2 linked regions of the Sus scrofa genome follow. The protein of the gene in region 1 binds, or shares a complex with, the protein of each later gene. Links are inferred from orthologs where the notes say so. Each region holds a gene or a part of one and is shown on either strand. Other genes may lie near its edges.

The links.
Region 2: the proteins of RAB7A (region 1) and PDZD8 are in contact, whole or in part, in a crystal structure (PDB 7F6J), measured with the Homo sapiens proteins. The link is inferred for Sus scrofa from reciprocal best matches to the Homo sapiens genes RAB7A and PDZD8. Residues at the interface, in NP_004628.4 of Homo sapiens: Lys10, Leu14, Asp16, Ser17, Lys38, Ile41, Gly42, Ala43, Asp44, Phe45, Gln60, Trp62, Gly66, Glu68, Arg69, Phe70, Gln71, Ser72, Leu73, Gly74, Val75, Ala76, Phe77, Tyr78, Arg79, Thr98, Ser101, Trp102, Glu105, Phe106; in NP_776152.1 of Homo sapiens: Ile999, Lys1000, Leu1001, Val1002, Arg1003, Lys1004, Glu1005, Gly1007, Leu1008, Asp1009, Asp1010, Phe1013, Ile1014, Lys1017, Gln1044, Leu1051, Asn1054, Asn1055, Val1058, Leu1077, Leu1084, Gln1085, Thr1088, Ile1092.

What each region holds. Positions count from the first base shown.
Region 1 is NC_010455.5:71,782,137-71,785,952, reverse strand, and holds part of RAB7A (ras-related protein Rab-7a), read left to right. Parts: intron 1-2,064; coding exon 2,065-2,283; intron 2,284-3,548; coding exon 3,549-3,677; intron 3,678-3,816.
Region 2 is NC_010456.5:127,398,268-127,401,623, forward strand, and holds part of PDZD8 (PDZ domain-containing protein 8), read right to left. Parts: coding exon 1,734-3,356; 3' UTR 1-1,733. UniProt on the Homo sapiens protein: Molecular tethering protein that connects endoplasmic reticulum and mitochondria membranes. PDZD8-dependent endoplasmic reticulum-mitochondria membrane tethering is essential for endoplasmic reticulum-mitochondria Ca(2+) transfer.

The sequences.
Region 1 (3,816 bases):
ATTCTTCCACTTGGAGACAGGTATTCGGTGTAGGACTCTGGGAAGAAGAGTGCATAGTGATTGGCATGGCAGTCCCACCCCTGGTCCTCTGTCCCTAGACACCCTGTTTTGCCTGCATATGGGTACTTTGCTCATTGTGGGAGCCGGGCAGTGTAAGTGCCTGCTGCTCCTGGGCTGCATTTTCTTGTGTTGCTCATCACCCTGCAGTCACTTCCCCTGGTTCCTAGGGGCTGCTTCCTTTACCTGGGGTCTCGGCACTTCTGCCACACGTGGGCATTCACAGCAGCTCCTGACTCCACTCCTGCAGTCTGACTTCCCATGGCCACTGGGGAGGTCCTTCCCAGAGCACTTAGAGCATGTATTGGTCAGTATTTCCCGGAAAGGGTATGGGCTGCCAGGGGCTGGCTCCCTGCTACCAAGTGTGTGACCCAGCATTGGCCATGTCGCCATGCGCTGAGTGCGGAAGGTCACGTGTGCTGGAGAGAAAGGCTCAGTGGCCTTCTCAGCACTGCCCTCCTCAGAGGGCAGTGACACACAGCCCCTCCCAGCATGCACTCTGAGTGTAGCTTGGCCCGTGTGGTCTGTCTGCTTTATTGGAACTGCCTCTAGGGCTTCGGAAGCTGCCACTCCCAGCTTTCCAGATGGCACTTATGTTTGGGCTCTGTGCCCGTTTGCCATGGTGCTGTTTGAACCAGTCCCCAAGGACAGACCAGCCTTCTGGGTTAGCGCACCGTCTCAGGACTCCTGGAGAGCATCTTGGGAGGTGTTGTGGGCTTTAGGTGTCATGAGCTTGGTAACAGGGAAATGTCAGCCCTGTAGCACAGTCCTGTTGGACTTCCTGCCCTGCTCCGGATACACACCCTCTGACCCAGCGCCATGGCCTCCTTTTATACGATGAGGCTCTTTCTGCCTGAACTGTAAGGTCAGTCTGTGTGTGGCCAGGGTGGGCAGCTAACATGTCCCCAAGTGCTCTGGGTCTTGGGAGGCAGGGCTGGCTGCCTGAGAGGGGCTTCCCAGAGGAGTGCAGCCCTCCTTTTGCAGAACATGGTTCTGGAGGTTCAAGTGTAGCTGCGCAGTCTGCAGTCCATTTTGGTCTAAACCTTGGGCCTTTGGATAGTTGGCTGCTGATCTGGACATTAAAGGTGGAGTTTATTTGGGTTATGAGAATGGTCCAGATTCTCGTGTAGTTCTGAAGCCCAGTGGTTTCCTGCAAATGGACACTGGATCCACCACTTGAAGACCCTATCAGCTGGAAGATACTGCCCTCAGCCTCAGACCCTATGGCTCACTGTTGATGGGCTCTGGGGACCTTCCTGGGAACATTGGCTATCTCTCCAGGCCGACTGGGTACTGTTGGGATCTGGGGCATTGATGAAATCCACCCTTGCTCTTGAACCTTGAATGACAACAAATGATGGGAGTTCCTTGAGCTGGTCAGCAGCACCTGGGGCTCCTTTGATCAGAAGTGACCTTCATCTGTTCTGTGGTGATCTCCTTGCCTTTTCCCCTTACTGTCTCCCCATCTCTGTGTATTTAGGTCTCTCTCTCTGTCTCTTTGTGTGTCCCTGTCTCTACCTCTCCCCATGTCCGTCTCTTACCTGTGTGTTTGTGCTTATCTCTGTCTGTCTGTATCTGTCTCTCTTGGCACTTTTGTTTTGTTTGTTATTTGAGGTGTAATGTAGATAAAACACACTGATTTTCTTTAACAGGTCAGCTTTACATACAGTAAAATACATAGATTTAAATGTACAATTCAGTGAATAATCCCTTCTCCATATTTCATCACCCCCAGAAAGTTCCCATGGGGTACATCTTGTTTATAGTGCAGATTTTACATAAATATCCACCCATGTGACCACCTGGATCAAGATGAAAACTCTCCCAGCACCTCCAGACTTGGGGGTCGGGGGGCGGTGAGGCAGGGGCTCAGGCACACATACCTGCTGTTGGTCGGGTATTTCGGACAGGCTGGTGCTGACATCTGCTTCCCGAATCCCAAAGTGCTGGTCCCTGGAATGCCGAGTTTTCCCACATGCCCCACGAATAAGCCTTTTGTCTCCCCAGATCTGGGACACAGCCGGACAGGAACGGTTCCAGTCTCTTGGCGTGGCCTTCTACAGAGGCGCAGACTGCTGCGTTCTGGTGTTTGATGTGACTGCCCCCAACACATTCAAAACCCTGGATAGCTGGAGAGATGAGTTTCTCATCCAGGCCAGTCCCCGGGATCCCGAAAACTTCCCCTTTGTTGTGTTGGGAAACAAGATCGACCTCGAAAACAGACAGGTGAGTGCTGAAGGTGGTGGAAGGCATTTAGATTATAGCCCCTAAATCGTGAAAAGGCTTTCTTTAAAAAGTGGCAGCTACTTTTTGGGTGACTGGTACAGTTTTTAGATTTGCTTAGCAAAAAGCCAGGTGCCTCAAGGATCTGTTGGGCTGGGTGCGCCCCCTTGTGGGGCAGGGGCGGGACCACCACCTAGTTACCTGCCTGCCCAGCCCCAGGCTTCCTGACCTTGGAAAGGTCTTGGCCCCCTGGCAGGGGGGTGCAGTGGCATTCCCTTTCAAGTTATGCCCACAGAGGAGCGAGTCCATTCTGGACTTGCCCATACTGGCTGTCCCTCCTGGCCTAAGGGAAGTGATGTGACTTAAGGCCATGTGGGATTCAGTCTCTGGAACTTAGAGGCAGACCTGATCTGCAGTCCACGTCACGATTGCTAAGTGGGGGATGCTTCTCGAGTGGGCTCTGTCATCTGGCCGGAGTCTTCTGACCTGGAGATGGTGCTGAGAGCTGCTGGCCAGGAGGAACATTCTGGGGACCGCTGTCACTTTCGTGTTCTTTGAGAGCCACCTGCTTCTGAGGGGCTTTTGTGAGTTTGGCACGTTCTATGCCGAGCCTGGAGTGCTGGGGGTGCACTGCCTCCACGCCAGCTGCCTCTGAGGACCAGGGCCAGGAGACCGGCTTACATCCCCACGCTGTCCCTGGCTGACTCTGACCTACTGCCTGTGCCTCTGCACCTCGTTCCCCCATCCCCAGGAGGGGATTAGATATTGTTGTCTTCAGGGCCTGCCTAGGTCTCCACGCATACAAAAGGTCCCTGAGGCTTTGAGTAAGATTGCTCTGGTTTACCTTCAAGTAGCATCTCCCTGGGGACAGAGAGTATGTCTTAATTAGAGCTCGGCTTTCCCATCTTCCCTCAGTAACCTAGTTCTCCTTTCATGCGGAGAATGGGTTGGAGGTGGGGTGGGAGCTGCAGGATTTGGGCCCTTAGGGATGTGGCACAGGTGATATAACCGGTGGTGACAGGGAAAGGGCTTCAGGCCTGACAACCAAGCCTCCAGGTGTTTCCCAAGCTGCAGACCCCCCAAGGTTCCACAGGAGATGAGGCTTTTCTTCATGGGCTGCTGCGTGTTTACTGGGAGCTATGGCTGTAGCCAGGGTGGCAGTGGGCACATAGCCAGCATCTCCTGTGGACGGGGACCACGGCCCTTCTGGGCAGGATAGCAGCCATGCCGGGCAGCCCTGTCTTGAGCACACATGCCTCTCCTTCTAGGTGGCCACGAAGCGGGCGCAGGCCTGGTGCTACAGCAAAAACAACATTCCCTACTTTGAGACCAGCGCCAAGGAGGCCATCAATGTGGAGCAAGCCTTCCAGACGATCGCTCGGAACGCGCTGAAGCAGGTGGGTCTCAGCCCCTGCCTGTCTTTTCCTTACCCTTCTCTCCTAGCTGTCATTATCTGGGACAGTAATGACACGTTCTGCTAAAGCTTTCAGGAAGGATTTGTTGGTCAGTAACTTCAGTGGTGGAGGGCAATGGGGA
Region 2 (3,356 bases), on another chromosome or scaffold:
AAGAATGAGAATTGGCTATTGATTTTAAAAGTGGAATAACTTTTCTACCCATAAACATGTTTTTAATCATCCACATAAGTTATCCCTTTTATTTGAATAGCTTTCCACTGTTCAGAGAGCTTTTGCAGTTATGCTATTGTTTTCCTCACAACAAGCCTGTGAGGTAGTTTTGTTTATTCCTACTTTAGAGCTGGGGAGAGTGTAGCACGGAGACCTTTTGTGGGCTTGCCTATGGTTACACAGTTCACTAATGGCCAACTCCATAAACTCTAGTATAGAGTCCCGGCTTATAGATCTGGGCCAGAATCCTTATGCTCTACTGTGCCTTTTCCTGCCAGCCATGAAAGCTGTTCCACCTAGTTTAAAATTCATGTCAGTTTCACTATATATATCACTTATCACAGTAGTTACCTACAAAAGGGAAAAACATACATAAATCTATCTTATAGAAAAGGTGAAAACTTTTATGTATACCAACAAAGGTCATGCTCACACATTTTCCCTCAGTCATGTGTTACTGGTATCCATCTGATGGACTGAGTATCCGAGCAGATCTTCATTTTAAGAGAACTGGTCCCAATTCCTACGTGTTTATGCCATCTAACTTAAAAAAAAAAAAAAATCAACAAAGACAGTCTGAACTATGGAAGCATTCAGAATGATTACCACGCCTTAAGCCTGTAGGATGTCAGACAAAGGAATAAATCTATTTCGCATGATTCCTCTCTCACAACATTCTCATGCATGACAATATTTCTAAAACAAAACAGCCAAGCAAGGTCATTTTAAGAACAGTCCTCTGAAACTTCAAATATCCTTGCACATGCTTTATTTCCTATGGGAGAAGTGAAGATGAAAACTAATCATAAATGTTTAGAACTTTCACTTGAAAGCATCAACTTTTTGAAAGGTTATATTTCAAAATCCTACTGGTTACTCTCTTTTAACCTTGTCATCCTCTCAAAATTCTTGACCAACTGCATTCTATATTTATTCCCTATTACATTTTGTTTTTCAACGCAAGCTCTTCAAATTAATCACTATAGTCTTACTAAAACTGCACAGAAACTTTAGGAAGCAAATTTCACAGAATCATAGAAAGCAAGCTGTATATGTAAACTTTTTTTTTTCTTTTTACTAAATCAGCATAACTGACTAAAGCTGCAGCATTTTGCTTTCATGTTACATTTGGCAAAATCAAAACAAAAAGCACCCCCCAAAGCCCCCAGATAACAAAAATCTCAAGCAAGTAGAGATGTCAAACTTCATAACACAAAATAAGATTCAAAACCTGTTCCCTCAATGATCACTGTTGTCAATTTGGGCATGCAGCAAATTTATTTTTATAACCATGATGGAAATGAAAATATTAAGAATCTGGATGGTATCCTATTTAACACTAATTCAAAAACTAGGAAGAGGAAGGAAAAATAACAAGACATCACACATAAACACCAAAAGTTAGCTTACGTAATTAGAAAAAGTTAAAAATAAATTAGTAAAAATAAATTCCCAGTAAAAACCCAAAAAGCATAGCTATAAATACAATCTGAAACAACCAATTTAGGGAGCTGGTCATGTTTTTGCTGGAGAACCTTGTCCACTCTAGTTCTTACACAAGCAAATAACTGTGGAGAAGCAGGCCAAAGTGCATAATAAGAGGGTTTCAATGTGTTGTACCTGTGGTACTTGAGATACAACTTTTCCTTAATCACTTGAAAGGTTAAACAGACTTAAACAGACTCAGAAGGGCCAAATAAGTCATCTGGTATGCTACTGAATGGCTGAGAGTCTATTAGTTGGGTTATTTCATTATCTAGGTCTTCTTCTGTATCATCTGTATACTTGCTTATTTTTTTGGAGTGCTGATCTAGAGAGAGACTTTCTAAAGATTCGACATCTTCAATGCCTGCTCTATAGTGGATCATGAGAAGTGTTAGAGCTTGCAGTCTTTCACCTGATTTAGCCAAAGCCGCAGAAAGAATTGATTTTTTCCTCGAATCAGTTGTCTCTTTTTCTTCTCTAACAAGGGAATTGTTATGTTCCAACTCCTGATCAATTTCATTCTGCAGTTTATCTAGCATGAACTCTAGTTTCTGGATCCTCTCCTCCGTAGGCAAGCCCCTGTACAGATCACGACCGATTTCTTTAACAGCAATGAAAACACTGTCATCCAGACCACCCTCCTTTCTCACTAACTTTATTCCTGTGTTGTTGCCCCGCTTAGAGGGACTGTTTGGACCACAGACCTCTGTGTCGCTGCCTTCGTTGTCTGATGTGTTGGGTGTGTGTTTTGGTGAAGGTTCTACTAGATCAGTTCCTGGCTCAGAAAGGCGAGTTTTAGAGACTTGACGCAGATTTAACAAACGAGAGCTTGTATTGATAATATGTCTTGTCAAACCTGTTGTTCTGTTGACTGACTTGCCAGCTTCAGCATCAACACGAGGGGGCAGACCTAAGAGGGTTTCTTGTCCTTCCAGCCTGAGGTTTTTCAGGGCTCTGTCTATCCGCTGGTCAGTTGCTCCACAAAGAGGAGTCTCGGCTAGACACTTTTCCTGACATTTTTTATGGCAAACATAAGCACAGAACATACACTGGGAGGCAGCTTTAGTCCAAACTTTCTTCTTACAGTAATCACACCAAGTTGGGTTCTGGAACTGAGTATCTTGGAAACTATGCTTATTTTCTGTCAAACCCGTCTGTCCAACAAAGTGCTCCTCTTTAGTCAGGGCAGAAACCTCTTCGACCAAATGGAGTTCTTTTTCTTTCTCTAAGTTAGTAACTACATGGTGCTCTGGCTCTCCTTCTTTCAAATACTTGAAGTGAACAGTAATATCCCCGAAGCAAAATGTGTCATTGAATCCCTTTTGTACACTCAGGTTGCGTAGAGCGGTTCTTGTGACCATGGCCTTAGGTGATGGGGCTTCCAGTCTGAATTTGGAAAGGTATTCCATGTTTGATGTGGCTAAGCATCCCAAAGCCACCTCTTCAAGTTTCAAACTAACATGCCCCAAGCAGATGAGACCCCCTAATTTGAAAGGATCCCTGCACCACAGTGCAATGTTTAAGTACCTGTGGCAGGCTTCTATGTCAAAAGAACAGCTAGCTCTGGTTCTTGTCCATTTTCCTAGCTTATTACGATAAGGAATTTCTGATGATTCCCACGTTTGAGGGTCATCTGAGCTGTCCTTAGGAGGGCAAGAACTTTCTGAAGTCAAATCTTTTGCCACTTCCTGCTTTGCTAAAAACTGTTTAGCGGCAGTGGCTTCTTCCACGTGATCCAGATTTTTCACTTGCTTTTCAGCAGGTTTATCTGTAAGAGGTGGTGGCAAAGTCACCTTCTCTGGTTTTTCAAC